3 linked regions of the Lepisosteus oculatus genome follow. The protein of the gene in region 1 purifies or fractionates together with the protein of each later gene. This does not show direct contact. Links are inferred from orthologs where the notes say so. Each region holds a gene or a part of one and is shown in the gene's direction. Other genes may lie near its edges.

Region 1 (7,058 bases):
AACTGCTCTACTGCCAGGCTGATTGTGAGTGTAGCAGGTGCATAGTGTGGGTGCAACAAAACAAAAGTAGTTGTGGGAATTGTGACGAGCAAGGGGACAGGCTGCAAAGGTTCCCCCAGCTCTTATATGCAGTATAGGTACATGTGATACATGACAGAGGTTCACTTCACATCTTAGGGGTTTTGTCCTGAAGTTTGAAGTTTCTTGCTTCTGCTTTTTTCACTTTTTACAGAAATTCATTTCTGCAGCAGTTAATAGAACTCAGTTTTCTCTTCCTTTGACGTACTTTTTCGTATAGGCGGCAGAAGACTAGGTTAACAGATTCCAAATTACTCCGTTACCTTCCACAGTGGGATAAGGCAGCAGTATTGTCACCTGGAGTACGTGTTCGATGTAATATGTCCTACTTCAGTTGAGGCCTTTGTCTGAGTTTGAAAACTTTTAAGTTTTTAAGGTTTTAAGATGCAAGCTGATTTCTGCTGCATGTAGCCGTTGTGGCTGGAATTTCTGGAAACTTTTTTAGGATTATTTTAACAAACGTTGCAGTCCTCAAAAATTAAAAACAAATTTGCCGGCTGTCTTCCTTTCCCTGATCTTTATAAATGTTTTAATATTCAAGTCCTTTGAGAACAACACCCTTTAGCTTTCTTAAAATGTCACATTATTAAATTGCACAAATCCATTTCTGGATCCAAGTTAAAGCCAGTTGGTTGCCTTCAATCAGATTTACACAGACGCCTTGACTACTGAAAAGAGGGGCTGAAGCAGAATATTCACAGAGATGCCGAAAGATGAGGAAAAGTACCTCAGATCCTGGAGGCATGCCCAAAACCACAGGTATACTTCTGTCTCCCCAAATGAGCTGTAAACAATTATTCTCTCCATCAGGCACGACCTCATCAAGAAGCTGAATGAGCTGAAGGACTCGAACCCCGATCTGGCGCAGTTACTGCTGGAGCAGGTAAGGCTGCTGTGATGTCTGAGCACCGCAGAGCGGAGTGGAGTCGAGCCTGTGGAGCTGGAGACAGTGCTCAGTCCAGCTTTAAAATCCCCAGCTCCCGAGTGGCCCAGAATCAGCAAAGGGATGCAGATGTTTTGATTAAACAACTTGGTAGTTCTAATTAGCGAAGGACGTGGGGTTGGGGTGTGTTGGCCTCCAGGGGCTAGGACTGGGAACCCATGCACTAGGTCAGTGTTCCAAATCGGAGGAGTTTGAACGTCTGTTTTGTGCTTTATCCATCCATCCGTTCTCTTCCTGCTTCATCTGATTCAGGATGGCATGGGAACCGGAGCGAGCAACAGGCGCAAGGCAGGGTATGCTCTTGGACAGGATGCCAGTCCATCACAGGGCACACCCAGACACAAACAAACCGGTTTTCCCATCATGTCTTTCGTATCACGGATGTCAGAAGGGACAAACCGTGGAATGGCAGGAGAGCGATAAAGACCCTATGCGTAGCGGCGAGACGGGGGTTAGCCCGAGCTCAGCTGTTCAGGAAATGAACCTATGCCCTCAGGCCACGGACAGGAGTGACTTGGCGCTAGGCCGGTGCGAAGGAGCAGAGCAGAAGCAGGAAGTAAATAGGCTACACAACAACGAACACCGGAAAGACATGAATAATCACAGGGCACCAGGAACAGGAGAGAAGTAGAGCACCCTCTATAGTGTACTGGGCGTGACATTTAGACTGTGGGAGGATACCGGAGCACCTGGACAAAACGCACACGATCCCGAGGAGAACGTACAAACGCCACACAGACAGCACCCCAGGCCCACGATTGAATTCAGGGCCCCAGCTCCCTGAGGCTGCAGTGCTGATCACAACGCCACCATGCCATCCCCTTTACACTTTATATCCTGGCCATTTTATGTCTTTGTCACAGCTGTTTGTTTCTTCCAGCACAACAAGTTGTCCCTCAGCGCAGTGTCTCTCCTTGCAGATCTACGACAACGCCATGATCGCGGCAGGACTCAACGACGACCCCCGCCCCATGATCGGCCGCCTCAACGAGCTGCTGACCCGAGCTCTGGAGAAGCACTGACCCTTCGGACCCGCCAGCGCCGAACACAGGCTGCCAGGCTGCCAGGCTGCATCAGGAGGCAGCAGGGCCTGGAATCAGTGCAAGGACTGGACGTTTCATCCAGGATTTCTGGGGCTGGAGCAAGAGATCGACTCTGATAACTTTTGGTCTTGCAGCCTTGCCCTAAGAGGACGTTTACAGTAACCCCATAGAAGAGGCCATTACAGCAGAGATCGAGAAGTGGGCTCCAATGGATCTTCACTTTAAATTCAATATCGCAGTAGTGAGGAAGCATCTTCAGAAAAGACTCATTCGAATCCTCTTTCTTCATTTTCAAAGTAATTCCTTGCATGGAGAATATTCATTAGGGCCGACATCAAATGATTTTTCCTGGGTATGAAGCAGGTCCTTTATCTTCCTAACCTACTATATTCAGGCAGTGCTGTTGTGAGCTGATCTGTGCCCCCTGAACCATCTACTCGCACTTGTTGTATGTTTGTGCTTAACTGTTAGTGACTGTGATGAAAGGGTCAGCAGATGTGAAAGGGGTGAAATTGGATATTGTCTCAATAAAATCCCTGCATTCTTCTGTTAAGAGTTTAGTTGGGAATGATAAAGGACGCAGACAAACCTACGTGTTCATTAGCCTGGAATGTCTGTGTTCTTTCAGCCTTTCGTTTTTATTGGGTAGCTGTGAATTCTAACATTCAAAAATGTAGTTGGTAATAAAGAGGCTTCAATACTTTTTGCGAATGTTTCTGAAGGCTGTCTAAATATGTTCTGCTCCATATTTAGATTCTGAAAGATTTTAAAACCATTAGTGGAAAACCCTAAAGCAGGTCTCTTCAACACTAGTTGTGGAGTGCCCTAGTCATTCATGATTTTATAGAGCATTCTAACTTTTTTATTTTTGAGGATTGGAAACACTTTTAAGTTATTAATGACGCATGCATGTTCTTTGTTTAGTTAAAAGCAGGTTGGTCCCTGACGACTGAAGTTTGTTTGCTCCAAATTGTCTGTAAATTAACAGATCACCGATCTAATCAATCCAGTCTAGAAATTGGATTGCAGCTTTCTAGGAAAAGGGTTGTAGATGCTGGCTCTAGAGCGGAATTAACAACAGTAGCAAAGGAAATGGTGTTTACCTGCACACAGCATCTGAAATCTTTGGGCAGACTGTGCATTTCATCTTCACTCAGATCTCCCTGTTTCTCTCCCCCTATACAAAGGAAAGATGTTTCCTTTTCTCTGTACCTTAGGGACACCTTTTCCTTGTTCTCTTCTCTCCCTGTGATCAGCACACACACCTGCATCGATCAGTAAAGGAGACGAAACCCTGAGCCTGTGCCTCTGCTCGCCTACATGTCCATAGGGATCAGGGAAGATTGCTGCAGTACTAATTCCAGACCCTCTGCATGAGGCATGTTAAAGAATCACAGGGGAGTCAGCTTCCACAAGGGCTGGGATAGAGTGAGTAGTCGATGAGCTCCTCCACTTCATAATACCCGCCTTCGTAGAGTGCAATGTGTAGAAAGTGCATTCTGGCTGGCCAGACCCAAGGTAAGAGGGCCCTGTAGCACTACAGTTGCATTGTAAGAAGCTAGCATTGGTATGTTCACCAGGAAACCAAAAAAGACTCCAATAAAAAAGTCCTCATTCACCAAAGTCTGGATCTGAACCCTGTCTAGCACGTGTATGGGAATCACTGGCCGAGGTTAACATATAACGGGTTAACAACATGACGAAAGCCATCATACCAAACAATTCAAGACATTTATGGGAGAATGAAATGTAGGTTCGATTAGGTACAGCACAAAAATGTTTTGAATGATACTTAAGCCAAAAGCATACATTTTCGTGCAAACGTAAATGTTGCACCTTTCTATAAAATAGAATAGCTTAGAACTATTCTGTTAAAAACCCGCAAAGGATTACGTGCAAAATACTTTCTCTGTGACGCCCAGTGGGGATATCATGTGAGTTGAGGTTTGTCATGTGACGTGGACGGTACGGCGGTGGGCATGTGACAGGAAGTACAAAGCCCAGCGGGTTCTGTGTGAGTTTGAATTGTGTCATATTTTAAAACAACACCTAAAAAAATAAATGAAATCCATATGATCTGGTAAACGTGAAGGCATAGAACTCAGATTCGGGTTCTGATTTGCTCGCAAGACGTCGAGAAATGTTTTTATTTGTGGTTCATTAGCTGGAGTTATCACAATGTAAATCTCTTAGCGGTTTTGCACCAAGTGCACCAATTACATTCAAATTATTTTAATGCAATTTATATCTTCAAATAATTTAGACAAGTTGTGCATAAGTGGTTACAGTGCATGCTTCAGAAGATGCTACATTGAAGACAGGCGCATTTCTGTACTCGTTCATCGTATGACGAACTGATGTATTTAGGAATTTAAACTAAAAGTTCGATCTCTGAAAAATCAGGACGTAAAATGTGTTAAAAACTGTAGTTTGGCGCATGACAACGGACATGTGCTGTAAAAAATGATCGTTTTTGTAACGTAAGAGGACGGGTGCATTGGGCTCTGATTTCACCCCGTGCTCTTTGCGTATCCTTTTGTATTGTTACTGCTTTATCTCCCGATACTGTATTGTAATTTTTTTTGCACTTTTCTGTCATTCTGTCTGCAAACTAGAATATGATCAGATCAAATAAAATGGCAAAACTCAGGGCTGTGATTTAGACTTCTTGCCGTTGCTCTCCCTTGATTTTCCTCTCACCGGGAGCTGATGGAGTTTTGTTTGCTGTTTCCACAGTGTTTGGCGACAGGGGGCGTTCAGTGGGCTAGTGTCCGCTGTGGATGAGCCTTAAACATGGGGTGTGAAGCGAGGGGCCCTTAGACGCCCCCGGCTGGAAGGGGCTGGGATTCGGGGGAGACGGATGGAAGACTCAGATGAGGATTTCACCGAGCTCTGCACCAAGGTGCTGAGACGGGTGAAAAAGGCGGAGGGGGAGGATGGCCACCGGAGGGACATCGGGGCTCCGAGAGCTCGGGGCAGGCTGAGGAGAGGAGCCGGGGGTAGGAGGGGGCCCGACCCGGGCTCGAAGAGGAAGGGGTGCGGCTCAGGCCGCGCGTCCCAGGCCGCCGTGCCCCCTGCGGTGGGCCCAGCCCCGGAGAGTGACCCCTCTGGCGCCCCTCCGGGGGTCAGCGTCGGCGAAGCCTCGCCCCGAGGTAGGAGAAGACCGCATACCCCCGCCTTCGCTCTGCCCCCCTCGTCGTTTCCGTGTCCAGCATTCAAATCTGCCGCCTGCATGTCATGTACTGACCGTTGGCCTTGTTTTGAATGTTTCCTTGAAACTGCTCCCTGAGCTTTTCTGCACATTGTAGTTGGCTTCCAGTGTTTGGTTCAGTGATACCATAAGAGAAATGAAAAGTCAGTGGAAGGCGTAGACGCCATATGGCTTGCTTGGTTGCTCCTGGCTAAGTGACTCAAGGATCTCATTGAGAAGCCCAGGTGTTGGCGTCAACAGCACAGCTGAGCTTGTTCCACACTCCTACAACTCGTGGTGTAGAAAAGCCTCCTGTCCTGAGTCACGACTCCACTTTCTGTACTTGCCGTTTCTGCTTGTCACTTGTATTTCACTGTTGGATCTAAAGAAGTCTGATGGGTCATACTGCTGTCTTCTCTGTTAAAGACTACAGCAGTTGAGTTCCTGAAGCTTGTCAGAGTGTGACTGTACTTGAATCCCAGGATTTTCTCTCTTCTCTGCACTGATTCCAGAGCTGCACTTTTTTTTGTAATGTGCCCACTGCAGTTGTTCATTATGAGCTGTTATAAATAACATCCTGTAGTTTCCATTCTGCACTTTTCATCTATATAGCCTGACACCCTGTTCACCTTTTTCCTCGAATGTTCTACAATAGTAATATTAATAATAAAGTAAGACATGGGTGGCACAGTCGTTAGCAATGCTTTCTCAGAGCACTGGGGCCCTGGGTTCAATTCCCGGGCCACTATCTGCATGGGGTTGGTATGTTCTCTCTGGTTTCCTCCCACAGTCCAGTGACTTACTGGTAGGTTCATTGGCTTCTGGGAAAACAGGCCCTGGTGTAAGTGTGTGTGTGTGTTTGTCAGTGTGTGCCCTGTGCTGGACTGCCACTGCGTCCAGGGTGTACCCTGCCTTGTGCCCGATGCTTGCTCCCCTGTGACCCCGAATTGGATAAACTGCTTCGAAGATGGATGGATAAGTGTCTCTTTGATAGGCTCTTGAAGCTCAGTGTTGCTTTATATTACACTTCACCTGCAGGTAGAACCCTGCACTTGCATGCATCAAATGTCAAGCCCAGCCATCCTGCCAAACGATTCTGCATCCGTCTGCTTGTGAAGGGATGGAGCAGGGGTCTGCAGTCCTCAGTGCTCACCTGTCGCGCTCTCCAGGTGTCCAGGGCCCAGGGAGGATGGGCGTGAAGGAGAAGGTGGTGCGGCGCCTGCAGCGGTTTAAGAGACTGAGCCCAGAGAGACTGACGCACACGGACCTGGGCACGGGGCGGGACCGCCACACGACAGCTTCGGGACCAGGTCAGACTGGGCTCCTGAACCTCCAGGGCTTTAAATCCCCACGGTCACCTTCGGTCCTCGGACCGGACACATTTCACCCTTAAGAAAAGCGTGAAAGTCTTGTGTATCGCTCATAGCAAGGACTCTGTAAGAATTTGAAAGGTTTCCGAAATGTCGTGGGTAGGTGGTTCCAAACACCTCCAACTATTAAAGTCAAAAGCGCTTCATTTTTCATCAGGGCCACAGGTTTTCACTGATGTCTTCACCAGAAAATCACCGTTACAGGTCACCCTATCAGAACTATTCAGAAATGCAGATCTCGTATTCTTTTAGCATATTTCATTTTATCTTTTTATATTGGTTGCCTGTTCTCATGTGTGTTTTTTATGTCCATCTTGGCTTTTCCACACTGTTTTCACGGAGTGTGAAAACACTCCAGGTGACGGTGAGGTAAATTGCTAGATTTCCAGGAGTTTTGTCAGATTTCAACGTGTATATATTTTTCTTCGGCTTTG
Region 2 (7,466 bases), on another chromosome or scaffold:
GATTCCCCTCCGTCGTGCTCCAGGGATCGGCCCACTGACTCCAGGGCTCGGCAGAAGCTGTCAGCCGCCATCTGGAACTGGGTGGGTGAGCAGCCAGGCCCCAGTAACGTACCATCGACACCACTGCTGCACTGTAAGAGACATTAGGGAACCTATTTCAAAATGAGCTCTTTTCTCCCTGCGAGTTCTTCACGATGCATGCATTTATCAGACATATCACATTTCCGTCCTGATGGCAAAAATGTAAAGCATCTAGTCCCGGCTTTTTTTAAAATAAGGTTCTCCATAAAAAGCCGAGACTGTGTTTATTTAACCAGTCTCCAAAACACAGCTGGTCTAAAGAGCATTAAAAAACAACCGAGTCCACTGCTTTAAACAAAAAGAAATGGGGGAATCGCATCCAACTCCCCAGCCACACTGCTCACATTTCAGGCTTATTTTGAAGCCTGCTAAATCTTTCCAACATCAACAGAGGTTTCTTGAGCTAGCTGAAATTGAACAAGGCACAACGCAACATCCCATGTGAGAGAACAATCAGACACTCAGATGGACGTACATTCTTAATTATTGAGCATTCCAACAATGTTTTTCCCCCAGATACATACCTTGTTTCTGATGTAGGCAGCCAAATGTGTTTCTGTACACCCTCCACCAAAAAGCGCAAAGGGACTCTTCAGTGATAGCCTCAAGACATGTTCTGCATTTTGGCACGTCAACTGGAATAAAAAGCCATTTAGATATAAGAGCCCAGAATTAAAAATATTAATGAGTTTACAGTAAGGGAACTGCTGTAAAATGCTAGATTTAAAGAAATCTAAAATGTGCTTTTGAGTTTAATATATGTATAATGCATATAATATATGCATTTGGAGAATGTAAGCAAAGCAACAGTTTCTGTTATCAGTAACATGTAACCTTTGCTGCTGTACATCCTGCTGTACTGACTGTACAAGTTACTGTACTCCAATATACAAAAACATGGAGATATCATGTCATGAATGGCAGAATTTATATTATCTTAACAAATATGGCTTTTGATAGTAATATGATGTATGTAGCATGATAAAAGGTAGAATGCCATTGCCATTCCTTTAACTCAAAGTCTTCTCAAAAGCATTACAAGCAGGTAGGGTAAACAACATGTTATACAGAAATGTATATTTTAAAACACCCGAGTTGTGATTTATTGCCATCTGTTGCTCATTCAAACCTACCGTGAATTCTTCATAGTCTTGACAGATACCAAAATGTCTTCTAGTAAAAAAAGAAGTGATTTGGAACAATTACTGTACACATCTTCTGTTCTTAAAATAATCTAATACAGCCTACCTTGAGCTCATTAAGGGTAGTCTCATTTCTGTTGCACAGCCCCAGACTGCAGACTGTTGAATCTCCAGCTGGGATTAAATTAAGCATCTGTCTAGACCCAAAGCTCTTCACAAGGATATTGCTCAGCTGTCCATAGCACTTGGATGGAACAGGAGACTGAAAACTAGCAATAGGTAGGGCACCTATTTCAAAAGAACAAGGATTTAAAATCATTAAGAGCCAGTCATATTCAAATTTTTAAAAGTTAAAAACAATGTCCATCATATTTGAGAAAACAATACTCTGCAAATCAACAAAAAATGCAACTATGATTCAATTCTACAAACTTTAAATTATACTCTACAGAAGTGACTGGGCTATTTCCATGTTCTCCTCTTTATAATCGGAAGTGAATTACACACCTGTCATTTGACTTAGTGGTTCCATGAGTGAAATCCCCAACCTCTCTATGACAATCACATGATGCTCCTTCAGGTACTGCTTCAAGACAGGATGTACCACCTTCTGACATGCAAGCAGCGCTACACCGTCACTGATGATCTGCTTCCCCATCCTCAGCAGCAGCTCCAGGACGGCTGCTTCTGGGCTGAGGCCACAACTAACTTCCAGCGTTCCGTCCCCCGTCTCAGAAAGGTCACCCGAGAGCGAAGTGTTGAACAGCGCCAGAGTGATGGCTCTGTGATCTAGCCACTTCAGGTCAGAAGCAGACAGCATCTCTGGCATTTCTACCAGCAGGCCAGGAAACAGAGCTGAATCCATCGCTCTGTGGCCTTCGACAGAAACGAAGACCACCTTCCCCAAACAAACACTTCCCTCAGCCTCACAGGGAACTGTCTGCAAGAACGCCTGCACCACCAGTGAGCTGACGTGTTGCACTTCTTTGTAAGTCAACATGCAGGCCGGTTTGCTAGCTATGACACTACGTGCCAGGGACAGCAGAGACTGACTGTTGCCAAAATCAATTCTTACTCTACAGCCACACTCCTCTTGATTCAGATAGTCTTTACACAGGCATAGGAGATGCCTGTACACTTTGAGGGTAATGCCCGTTTCAATATTTAATCTTTGTGCATTTTCGATAAGGGCACAGGAGAGGATAGCTGCAAACAAACCACAATCGCTAAAGCAAGAAATATGGTTCAGAACAGATGCAGTAAGTAGCTTGAGGACAGGGTGTGATGTGAAAACTCCTTTCAGAAGCACTGCTGACGTAGATGTGGTCTGGACATGCCCTCCCACATTGTTATGTATTTGCTTGAGTCTGCCGGTAGGACCAAAACATGATGTGAAGATCTGCCTGAACACTGCCAGTTTCTGACACACTTTATCATCTGATAAAGGTTCAGCAGTACAGAGCGAGGTCTTTTTATTTGACAGACGAGACATCTTTGCTTTAGCCTATCAGAGAAACTAAAGACTTTGAATTTCTTTTAAAGTCCAAGCCATTTTATTTCATGTGGATAATTTACAGAAAGGCCATGCAGATTTATTTATGTCTGACCTCATTTATAGACCCATTTCAAAGTACAACCTTTTTAATTTAAACTTAAATAGCAAGGATCAGCACATAATGGTCTAGTTTGGCTCTTCCGATTGTGGCATCATTACTTGACATCCTTCTGTTTCAATGCAAGATCCGAACGAGTCGAGCTTTTCACAGTCTTTTGCAATAGATATGTCCCAAGGTGAATACCAAGAAAAGAAAGTCCTGCCACAAGCAGCCAGTTCTTCTGCAACCAACTTCTATTGCTCATGTTAGCAGCCTTTAACGAGGGATCTTTTTGTCATTAATTGGAGATTAATTTCTGCCTGAAATGAAAGGGAAAATTACACATATTGTTAGACTAAGAAATACAATAGAGAACTTCCATATTTAATAGATTTTTTTTAAAAATAGCTTCTCCAGATAGGTCATTGCCTGAGTCAAAGCAATTCTATTTTGTGCCATTACATCTTCTATAATATTCACTATGAGATTGCAGATGAACATCAATTCTATTTACCTACAGCACGAGAAATGGCTGGCACAGGCCAAACTTTAGAATCTTCATTTGAGCCACAGAGCTAAAAAATGACAGCCCAATACCTGTGATCAGTATTCTACTGCTTTCCTTTTGGGTGACTTTGCTGTTGGGAGACATAGGACACCACGCCGGGCTCTGGCATGTAACTGTCCTCCTTCTTGTGGAAGATAGGATTTGACTTGATGCTGTACCAACCCCAGTGTACCAGTCCAAGACCCGTGCCCATAACTATAAGCACTTTGTAGTTCTTCCACGCACTTCTTAGTCCCATAGTAACGCTGGAACCTACAAATGAAAACACAGTTTAAAGAAACCAAACAAAAATAAAACAAAATATAAAAAACATCTCCATGCAAATGGTGAAGTCAAACCATGACTGTTTTAAAACAAAGAACCATTTAATTTGTGACGTTAGCTTCATGACTCTTTACCCTATGATCACTTGCATAATGACTGATTTCATAGAAAGACTACAGAGTGAACCATAGCTACGGTTGATAACTGGAAAAATCAAGACACAAAACGTCCGTAGTAAACAAGTATTATTAAACCAAAACCTAGTAAAATATTTTAAATATTCGTAAGGACTTACAAATACAAGTGACAAAAAAGACTCACCTTCAGCAGCTTACAGTTAGAAACACGGCGGCCATTTTGGGTCCTTTCATTTGCGAATTTCCACATATATGCCTGTCAAATATATAAGATGTTTCAGCGCCAAGCACTGCACTATAAGAGACGGTACTATAGTGTAACGAATAATAAGATACAAACTATGAACATGTATTAAGTACTCATTGTTTGTCATTGAAATACACATTCAATCAAAAAACTAGTCGCATCTAATGACACTTCACACTCTGTGTAAACGTCTTTTTCTTCCATTTTTGTTCTTTTAGTTACCATAACAAGCAAACGTCTTCAAGTGTTTTCAAATTCTGCAGTTTCAGCGATCGTTTCTATGGCATCAAGGACGCCTATGGGGGTCCTTCTGTCATCGCAACGTGACCCGTATTCAAACCTGATGGCGGAAAGAGAACGTGGAAACATTTGTGCTGCTTTCGGTACGTAGCGGCTTCGATAAAAAAACAACAACAACAACAACGCAGTTTCCATGTAAGGAAAACCAGAAGCTATGCATTATAAAACATTGTTAAAATAAAATTGCATGTCTATTTCTTAAAGAAAAGGTGCTTGTATTGTTACTATAGTGATAGTTCACAGCTGTTTCCACACATTTCTATGCACTGTAATCTTGTTGACATTTTACGATGGAATGGAATCGCTGTAACTATGTGTAGTATCGCAGCTGTACTTGCTCGTTTTACCTAATACAACTAGGTTGTCGGCCCCACACGTCCCGAAGAGCCTTAATATTCATTACTGTTTTAAAATTTAGTTTGGAAACAAATGCTTTTTAAAAATAAATTTCACTTGAACATGGAATATTGTCTGTATAATTACATTTTAACACATAAACGTATTTATCAGGAATACCGAGGATTTATTAGCGTTAGATGTTTTTTTAAAAAGCAAACCCTTCTCATAACATGTATTTATTGTTCGCAATAACTGTTTTCATACGTGCACTCTCAAGTTGCTTTTTGACGGTGCAGAATTTTAAGACACATTGGACAGAAGGATTTATATCGGTAATAGCATTTTTAAATTATTTTGAGACCAGAGTTGTGCACACATCACTATTGTCATTGCAAAAGTTGTGTTATCAAATATTAAACTATAAGACCATAAGCAAAATGCAAATAATCTGAAATGTATCTCTGGATTTACTTAATAGGAAGTGTGTGTGTGTATCCTTTAAGTTGCAGTGTTGACGGTGCAACACTTTTCCACAGTAAGTTTTTATTTGAAAGATAAAAACGTGATCTAAGGAAAGACACGTGTCAGTAGCGTGCGAGAACCCAAAGCTACGTGTGATATGCTCTGGGGTTTTTATTTCCGCTGGCTTTTTGTTTTTAAAGAAAGCTGCATCAGTCACCAAATGATAACTGTGAACTACCTTCATATTTTATTCTTTAGTTTTCTTTATAAGATTTGGGCAACAGTGTGGAGTTCTTGTACCATACATTTTTGTACAATCATCTCTGCCCCTGCTGATTTTGAACAGCTGTTGTGTTTGACAGCTGTGGGACGGATGCAGAATAACATTCTGCAATCTATCATATTTTCCCCATAACCATTAAATACCAGAACCGCAAGGTAATTAAGGTCTGTATTGTTGTGTATCACTTTGAGCGATGACTCAGTGACAGGTTTTGCAATTTAGGCATGTTTCTTTTATGATATCATCCATAAAATATTTTTCAAGAAAGTGCTGGGAGGAATTGCTTAGTGCATGAATATGTTTTATAATTCTGAGATAAATTTTGCTATCGGGCGTCATAGAAGGTGACGACATTACTGAGTGTGGGAAAATGACCTTTGGGCACAATCAGAAAGTCATTTGTCAAAATGTAATTTTTTGCATGCCCTGCTCATAGTAATGTAAAAGTAAAGGTGTTCAATTTATATTTCGATGTCTATGTTTTATTTGCTATTTTTCAGGTTGTCACTGAATGTCATGCAAAAAATGTCCCCAAACAAGTTTGTAGTGAAGGTATGTAAATGAAGGAATTTATAATATTTTTTATGTTTTTAACTTTTTATCTGTTTTTTTTATGCATATGTGATTTAGTCTGGATTTGTCTTGTTAAGAAAATGCCAAAATGAAAAAAAAATTGTTAAAGGTTGGGACATGGAACATTATTGTTATCTTTTTTGTTCTTTTTTGTAATTTATCAGTTTTAACAAATGGCTGCTGTCACAAAACAAATCTTGTCCATTTGTCCTAAGTGAGATAAGTCTTAATTTTCTATTTCTATTGCATCAGTAATGTATCTACCATTATCTTTGATTTTGGCTGAAGTGTAAAAGCAATATAGCAGTACAGCAAAATTGTACAAAAAAGGAAAAAAAGAGTTATGGGATACTTTTGTTTTCCCTAAGGTTCAAAACTTTTCTTCATGTGTGCCAATTTAGGCTCTGCCATTTCAGTTTGTGACGTGAATGCAGTCCAACATAAACAAGTCTGCGAATTGCTGAGGAAATATTATTCTGAGCGTTACCCTTTTCAGTGCTGAAGACTACATAATGGCTTTATGTGATCAAAGAGATTGTGCAGCCTGCTTTTGTTTCGTTGTTTCTGAAAATGTACTGGCTAAGAGACAAAGGTGTCTGTGATGAATGAACCTTTGGTTTTCATGGTTTGGGAAAGTTTTTTAAGTTTATCAATAAAAATAAAAAAAATATACAAGGAAGTCTCCTCTGAAAATGTTTTTTTTTTTACAATCCATAGTTGTTGCCTGTAGGAACTATTGCTGAGATGTTGCCGATATAAAAACAATCAGTTCTGAGGAAATTAGCAGTGGCTTATTAAATGGTAGCTGCTTGTTATTTCTGTTGTGGCTTTGTACTTCGGGTATTTAAAAACTGTATTGCAATATAAGGGAGCATTCTTAGGTGTATTTTATTTTCAATCTCTGTGCTAATATGAAAAAATGCCTATTAGGCATCACTCTACATTATAGTGTGCCAGCAGCTTTTACAGAAATTGTGAAGAAGTGGAGACCAAATGAAATCATGGAGGGTAAAGGCTGCATAGTGCAGTTTCCTCACCGGGCGCCTGGCAGGGGGATTCCCTGAGCAGCAGCGGCTGAGCTCGGGACCGGAAGCTGCTGTCTGTTCCTGAGGGGAGATGAGGGCAGTCAGGGGGAACGGGACTTCACTGGGTAGCCTCCAGCAGGGGGCAGAGGCGTATTCTCTGTGCACTTGACTCCCGTGCACTTGACTTTTACTTCAGTACGTTTGGGCTGGCCATCCCAGGTGAATAATCAGGGGCATAAGTCAGTCAGCTTATATCTTATATTTGTTGTTTTTATCAGTTGAAACTGGCCTATTGTAACTTTTATGTAATAAAACAAGCACACACTTGGTTCTAAGTTCTTCTTATGAATGCATGATGTGTAAACATCTTGTTCCATTATTGTAATAGCCATGTGACCAGCAGAATTTCAGCAACACCAGAGCCACAGTTAATGTGTGCATGTTAATGCA
Region 3 (7,804 bases), on another chromosome or scaffold:
TTTTTCTTTTCATTGTCATTAGATCTTGTGGATAAAATTCATCCCCACAACTCAAAAAATGCTCTCCATCTACGGACGACCCCCCCAGACACACCCCATGCTGTAGAGGCTCAGAAAAGGAGTAACAAAATGGCCTGATTTGCAGATAAAAAAGACTTTCCAGGTTTGAGTTCACTTCAATTTGTTCATCTGTCCAATAGAAACAAGTCGAGGAAAACACAACACCCTTTGAAAATTATTTCTTCTCACTTTATCTGGATCATAATTTCTGATCAGCATCTCACAATGATTAAAAAGCAGCCACACAAGGCGTTCCATTGCAGTGACTTCTTTCAAACTATACACCTGAAAGTTACAGTTATCTGACCCATCAGTTGTAAAAGTTAGACAATGTATTAAAATAGCGCCTTTCCTCTCAAATGATCCCACAGCACTTTTTATAAAGGATGGGATCCACTTTAACTATAGCTGAATATCACACAGCAGCCATTCTAGACCAGCAGATTGGGCGGAGGAGTGAGAAACTGCTTCACCACATTAACCTAACTGAATTAAGGAGAGCTAGAGGGAGGCCAGATTGTGCAGGCCCAGAGCAGACATTAATCAGGCTATCAGATATCGGGGCAGCTGTGCCCATGGCTGGAAGGTTGCTGGTTCAAATCCCGTGGCCAGCAGAGGAATCCTACTCCGTTGGGCCCCGGAGCAAAGCCTTTAACCCCACTTGCTCCAGGGGCACCGTATAAATGGCTGACCCTGCGCTCTGACCCCAAGCTTCTCTCTTCCTGTCTGTGCGTCTCATGGAGAACAAGCTGGGGTACGCGAAAAGACAAATTCCTAATGCAAGAAATTGTATATGGCTAATAAAGTGATCTTATCTTATCTCGGTGTTAACACCCCAACACTTTCCAATAGTGTCATGGGATTGCTAATGACCAGAGCAGTCAAGACCTCACTTTCAACATCTCATCCAAAGGAAAGCAGCTGCACAGCACAGTGTCCCTTATTGTCATACTGGGGCACTGGTTTGGAAATTCTGGCCCAGAGGAAAGAGTGCCACCTACTGGTCCACCAGCATCACTTACAGCAGCAACCTGGTTGTCCTTGGAGGTCTCTCATCCCAATACTGACACTGCCAGCGTTGCAGAGCCTCCGACACCTGGCTAGTGCAGGCGACAAGACAAGAACTCACCGCCACATGTGATGTAGGAAGCATCACAGAGATCAACCAATCTCATTACAAGAGCACAGACGGATGTGGTGAGATTCTTACAAGAGCTTAAAAACTCAGAAGAAAATATCATGTTTTCACATAGTTAAGCAGGCAAAATGCAACTGAATATTTGATCTATAGCTTTGCACAAAGATGGATACCCATAAATGTAACGTATAAATGTTTTCTATATCAGTAAAACGCAACTGACATTCCCAGCGCTCTCACTGTTGCCTTGTCAGTTGACATGAGTCCATCACAAGGCACACACACCTAGGGACAGTTTCCCCCAGACGCCAATTAACTTCTCAGTATGATTCTGGACTGTGGGAGGAAACCCACGTGAACATGAGAAGACCATACAGACACCACCCCAGGTCCGGAATTGAACCCTGGGACCCCAGCACTGAGAGGTTGCAATGTTAACCACTGCACCACATATAAAATCTATTACACCAAAAATACATATGATTGTAAAAATCCGGACACATCCCCAACAACCGGATCAACAGCAGCATCGTTAACAACTTCCCGGTCTCTTGATAACCGGTGTGCCTCAATCCTTCAAAGAAGACCAATTAACTAGCATTAGTGGGCACTTGTCCTAATCCAAATGAATCGGGAGCCGAGAAAATAGTCGCCCGGAATATCCTGACCAGTCGCTGCCCCGGCAACATTAAACAGCTCCTGGTTCACAGCAGAAATCCGGCAGATCCTAGATGCCGTGGTGCCCAGCACATGCAAATGAAACTAATTTCCAGGCAACGAAAAGTCTTGCAACGGCTATGGCATCTCTAGACTCTCTTCTTGTTCTGCTGAGTAGCTCACAATAATCCATTACGTTTCACGATTAAAAAAATGCATTGTGTGAAACCGACCTTTTTTTTTACTAATTTACTGCTACTATCGAAGAGGACCTTGGGAAGTCGCGGCCTAGAGCAGCTCCGTGATCAGTATTTTTCTTTTCATAAAATCTGTGGTTTCATCCGTGTACCACAATTGGTGCTATGCTATTTCTGTTAACGAGCTCCAAGTGGAACTAGCTACAAAGTTTCGCAAGTTAGCGTTAACTCGATTCAGACGAGCTGTCCATATCATCAAACACCTTAGTTATTGCCTCAATCTAGTAAGTTTACAAACAAAAATGCAAAATAAACAACTTATAAAACGTTTTTTAGAGAAACAATTGCGCCGTCCACGGGAGAAAATCAGTTCTCTCCAGCTAGCCCAAGGCGTGATACACTTATGACACTCCAGGAATAATTTAAGAAATACAAGTAACACAAGTGTGCCAGAATCACTAAGGCCTGGCTTGATCTCGAGAAAAATAACCCCTCATTCATCCAGTGCAACTACCGGCTCGCTGCGATAATGCTCACTGTAAACAGCAAAGCAGAACCGGCGAGGGCTTCTCATTCAAAGCTCCCCATCACTTTAACGAGCTTGCGAAGACACGCACGGATCTGCGGAAACCTTCTCAAAACTTACGTGAAAACGAAGAATAAAGTAGTGGAGCCCACGAGAAGAGTAGCTGCAGTAGACACCGGGATGTATTTGGTGGGTTTAAATCTCTTTGCAGTGCTGTTGGGCATTCTGTAGTTTCCACATTCCTTAATTATTTATTCCAATCGGAGACGCAAATACGGAGATCCAATGCGATGTCTGCAGACGGGGCTATTTAGGCAAACCCGTCTCCCCCCCCCCTTCCTGCTGCTAATGTAAAATACACACTCAGATCCAAAGATAGACAGAAATACGGCTCCCCACACCAGCACAAGCCTGAAAATCCCTCCCTTGTGATCCAGCCCACCGCTGAGGTCAGAACACCGCTGTAAGGTGGAGCTTTCACGTAGAAAAGGGCGTCTGAGACCACGGCCACAGATCTTCACATTAGCATACATAATATATGCCGCTGCCTTGCGAGAGCTGTATCCGTCTTTGTGAAGATTTCGTGGCGGTGCCCGGCTTTGCATCGGAAAGTGCATGACATTTAAATCGAGCAGACTCACGTGGTGCCGCGTTACACGCTCAACGCTGTGCGTCTGCATCAGCCTTCTCCTGCTGATGGTATTATTAAAAGTGTGTGTGTGTGTGCTTTTAAAGCCCCGTCGGAGATCAGTTTTCAAGTATAAACCTTGGTCTTGAGACTATTTAAGTATAAAATGACAAGTGTCTTACGGTTATATCATTGTTTCCTCTCACTTGGCATGACTTACCGCGTTGTGCTGTGCTTCCTAGCACTCCATGCCCATATTTAAACATTGTACATCTAAGAAAAAAAACTTTCACCTGTCATTTTTAAGAGTTGACATATCGTTAGAAATATTCCCGATATTCTATAAGCTCACGGTGTCGCTCTTTGTAACCGCGAGGAAAAATCACCCTTCTTTATTTATTATCAAAGCTGAATGAGCATATTTGATAGATTGTGTCAAACACGTAGCAAACCGCACTAAAGATATATGAAGATGTTCGAGCTCATACAGTACGTTCCCTCGGTCCATTGTATGCCTCATGCGCCCCCTAGCGTTCAAAATGAAAATAACAATAGTAATTGAATTCGCGGAAAGTCTAAAAGCTACTGCTGAGCAACATATTTGAACTAAAGATGAATGTTTTATTTAGTTATAGAAGAGTTAAAAGTCACAGTAAAGTAACACGTAAGAAACACCCACTGACCTGATACAGCGGAGTCCTGTCCAATAAACAAGCAGCATTACAAAATGATGTCATACACAACCAAAAACATTAAAATAAGTCTTTTTTGAATATGAGGTGTGTAGGTTAAGCATTTAAGCGAAAATAAACACGTTTCGACGATTACCAAAGACAATGTTTTGTCCTAGTGCAGTGATAATTCCTGATGGTCCCGCAGACTGTTAGGTCTTATAGGCAACCAACTGGTCAATTCTTGGAAAACAGTGGTAATACAGATTAGTATTAATACAATTAGGTGAACCTTTTAATGACCTGATTGTAATAAGAGTCCAGGGTGGAAAGGAAACCAGGGGCCAAAAGATATGTGTACATAGATGCTGTTACAGATACGTGGAGGGAGAGAGGCGTGTGGCATTTGATCATATAGTCTGAGAGATATGTGCATTCTTAAACTGTCCAGTGGAAAGAAAATAGACGAGGATTTGGAAAATGGCTAAACTCGTGAATCCAAGGGTATACACACTGGTGACTTGTGTAAGACTGATTGTGTAGTTCTAATACCTGGTGTCAGCCTCTCTCGTGTCTTGAGTAGTAACTGAATAGAAGGAAAATTGTGGCAGGTTCACGTTATAGTGAAGAGTTTAACAGAAAATGTGGCTCTTCTGTCTCGGTTATTCTATGTCTAAATCGCATCCTTAAAAACCTATGACAGGTTTTTCACCACAATCTGACTGCAGAATAAAACATCTTTTGTATAGAAAATACCTAGACTGTTACGAATTCTCAGTATCAAAACCATCTTTCATTCTTTTAACGCCACCCATTTCGCGTTTCGTATTTCTGTATGTTTGTCCGAAGCGGGCACATGTATTGCAACCCGGTTTTCTATTTCCTAAGACGTTGTGCGAGTTCATGTCTTGGTTTCGATTATTCTGAGGATTAGGGTGTAGGTTTGTTACCGGGCTTTCCTCCTCTCACTTATTTCATCACCTGTTTGCGCTCAGTGGACCCGAGCCGGTTTATCCTCAGCTAGTCAGTCTGTTCCTTTGTTGCTACAGTGCATCAGGTTTCGATCTCGACAGCAGTCTGGCGTCTTCGCCATTTGTTTTTAGACCTGCGGCCGGGTTGTGTCGGACAGCATGTCGTTTAGGAGGGCTGTCAGGCTGGTGTGCGGGCTCGCTGGCGGGTCAGCGGTGCTGGTAGCGGTGGCAGCGGCGGCGGATGCCCGGGGGACTTTCGGGGACGCGGGATCCCGGGAGAGCCCCAGAAAGTGGACGAGCTTGGCAGTGCTTCAAGCTGCTCAGACCTGGACGTCAGGGAACCAACACACCGTGCCGCCGAGTGGAAACGCCTGGGACCATAACTGGGATAAGTGCGTCCTTTCTTTTTTTAAAGCGCCGAGTTACCATTGCCGGCTCACGTTTAGTCGAATTGAGGGGTTATAACGTTTGAAAGGCTTCTGCAGACATGATGTAAATTATGGCCAAGCTCTAAGAAGTCTCACCGTCTTTAACTAGAGTTTAATGAAGACAGAAAGAAGTATAAAAACAAAGTTAAAACATGGAACTTCTTATTGTTTAAACAAACGTTTGACTGCGGTGCGCAAGTTGAAAGTACTTCCTACATTTGAAACACTAGCGGTATTGAAACCGAAAGAAGCACATCATTAAAATCACAATTTCTTATTAACCACATACACATCACATGAGGACAAATTCACATTTACAACGGTAACCTGCCGAGAGCGTCCGTTTACTGGAGCAATCTTGAGTGAGCTACTTTGCTCTAGGATACAACATCACCTTCATCCTGGACTTGAACCCGTGTTGCTCCGGTCGGGAGTCCAGGGCCCTAATCAAAACTGCATGGTGACACCCTAAAATCTAATGAGTACCAGCGACTGGAATCGATCCCACATGGGGCATACATCCACTGGGACTTATACCCAAGCCCAAGGCCTTCCAGCTCCTTGGTCTAATCTTTTTTTAATCTTTAATCGTGGATGTCTCTAGCTAGGAAAAATATAGAAAAATCACGTTACATAGAAAACGGAGAAAGCAATGGAAAATACTTCTAAAAGAGCCATGTGTGGCAGTGGAATTATCCACAGAATCTTGTTTTTTTTCTCTGCTGATCTGGAGTTTAAATGCCAGATTGAAGGCCAGAAGCGGAGTTTGTTCAGACTCAGTGGTCAGCTTTGCTGCCTGGCAGTGCCCTGGGGGTTCAGTCCTGGACCTGGGGCACTATCTGTGTGGAGTTTGTATGTTAATAATAATAATAATAATAATAATAATAATAATAATTGCTTACACCTATATAGCGCTTTTTCTGGACACTCCACTCAAAGCGCTTTACAGGTAATGGGGACTCCCCTCCACCACCACCAATGTGCAGCATCCACCTGGATGATGCGACGGCAGCCATAGTGCGCCAGAACGCTCACCACACACCAGCTCTCAGTGGGGAGGAGAGCAGAGTAATGAAGCCAATTCACATGTTCTCCCACAGTCCAGAAACATGCTGGTTAATTGGCTCCAGGGACGTCCGGCCCTAGGTCTGTCTGTGTCTGTGTGTGCCTTCTGATGGACTGGCGTCCCATCCAGGGAGTATCTCGCCCTGTGCCTGTTGCATGCTGGGATAGGCTCTGCCCCCCCGCAGTCCTGAGCTGGAGGAAGCGCTGAGAACATGGGTGGAGTGAGTGTCTTCCAAGCGACTGCTGTGTAATTCCTGCTGCTAAAATGGGTGTTTTCTTTTGTGTGTCCGCTACCAGGCGTGAGCCCCTCTCCCTCGTGAACACGAGGAAGAAAGAGGAGAAGCAAGGCAGCAGCGGGGACCTGTCCGCAGAGCTGGACAGCAACAAGCCCAAGGCCACGCGCCACATCCTGCTGATCCGCCACTCGCAGTACAACCTGAACGGCAGCGGGGACAAGGAGAGGACTCTGACGGCTCTGGGTACGCTGACTGGCGGCTTTCTCTCTCCCAGCTGAGCTCCGAGCGGCTGGTGGGCGTGATCCGGCCACCCCGGGCCGAACTGCTTTTCCGATTGCGGGTCACATGGGAGCCGGAGCCTGTCCCAGCAAGCAGTGGGCCAAGGCAGGGCACACCCTGGGCAGGACGCCATCTGTCACAGGGCAGCCTCGGACACAGACACGCACACAGAGCCAATATTCCCAGAAGCCGATTAACGTACCGGTGTGTTTTCGGACAGTGGGAGGAAACCCACACTAACACAGAAAATACCTACAAACTCCATGCTGTGAGCACTCCAGGTCTGGAATGGAACCAGGGGCCCCAGCACTATGAGGTAGCAAGGCTGGCCCCAGCACCACCATACCACCCCATACTGGTGTGTTGTGGTCCGGGGGAATAGCGCCACCTACTGGCATACCTACACCTCCTATAACCACAACCTGGTTTTCCTTGGATGTTCAAAATGTCGAGACTGACGTGCCTCACCCTTGCTGGGACTTGATGAGACATGTCTTGAAAAAGAAGCTTTGTTACATTACATTATTACACTACATTTGTTATGCTTAAGCCCGGCATGCCTTTTGCAAGACTAAAAACAAAAGCAATAGAATTTTGAGAGTTCAAATGTGTGCAGTTTAATCCTCTAATTTACAACTATGAACACTAGTTTCTGCTGATGAATTTGGCTTTCCAGAATTGGGGGTATAAGTCCTTGTAACAGAGTGAACTGCATGGTAATAAAGGGAGAATATACAGTATGTTTTTTACCATCCTGTATTCTAATCGGACTGTGCAGGTAGACAGCAGGCAGAATTGACTGGGCAGCGTTTGGCCGAACTGGGTCTGAAGTACGACGTCCTCATCCACTCTACCATGATGCGAGCCACAGAGACCGCTCAGATTATCAGCAAGTACCTCCCAGGTCTGCACACCTCTCACACTGGTATCCACTGAAAAGTACCTGTG

Evidence for each region. Proteins that work in one complex are often made in the same cells at the same time.
Region 2: the proteins of slx4 (region 1) and slx4ip purify together in Homo sapiens (affinity purification with mass spectrometry; 6 studies listed by BioGRID and IntAct, with this or other methods). This does not show direct contact. The link is inferred for Lepisosteus oculatus from reciprocal best matches to the Homo sapiens genes SLX4 and SLX4IP.
Region 3: the proteins of slx4 (region 1) and pgam5 purify together in Homo sapiens (affinity purification with mass spectrometry; 4 studies listed by BioGRID and IntAct, with this or other methods). This does not show direct contact. The link is inferred for Lepisosteus oculatus from reciprocal best matches to the Homo sapiens genes SLX4 and PGAM5.

The regions. Positions count from the first base shown.
Region 1 is NC_090714.1:3,249,087-3,256,144, reverse strand, and holds the start of slx4 (structure-specific endonuclease subunit SLX4), read left to right. Parts: upstream 1-3,992; 5' UTR 3,993-4,078; intron 4,079-4,108; exon of another isoform or gene 4,109-4,144; intron 4,145-4,155; exon of another isoform or gene 4,156-4,244; intron 4,245-4,800; 5' UTR 4,801-4,924; coding exon 4,925-5,216; intron 5,217-6,423; coding exon 6,424-6,564; intron 6,565-7,058. Other genes in the region: trap1 (heat shock protein 75 kDa, mitochondrial), read left to right, coding at 889-961, 1,942-2,043. UniProt on the Homo sapiens protein: Regulatory subunit that interacts with and increases the activity of different structure-specific endonucleases.
Region 2 is NC_090712.1:7,013,050-7,020,515, forward strand, and holds the start of slx4ip (protein SLX4IP), read left to right. Parts: upstream 1-4,383; 5' UTR 4,384-4,467; coding exon 4,468-4,469; intron 4,470-5,918; coding exon 5,919-5,970; intron 5,971-7,466. Other genes in the region: molecular chaperone MKKS, read right to left, coding at 1-131, 606-716, 1,330-1,511, 1,731-2,715.
Region 3 is NC_090717.1:3,106,834-3,114,637, forward strand, and holds the start of pgam5 (serine/threonine-protein phosphatase PGAM5, mitochondrial), read left to right. Parts: upstream 1-4,721; 5' UTR 4,722-5,007; coding exon 5,008-5,240; intron 5,241-6,638; coding exon 6,639-6,820; intron 6,821-7,634; coding exon 7,635-7,760; intron 7,761-7,804. Other genes in the region: palmitoyltransferase ZDHHC8B, read right to left, coding at 2,699-2,802. UniProt on the Homo sapiens protein: Mitochondrial serine/threonine phosphatase that dephosphorylates various substrates and thus plays a role in different biological processes including cellular senescence or mitophagy. Modulates cellular senescence by regulating mitochondrial dynamics.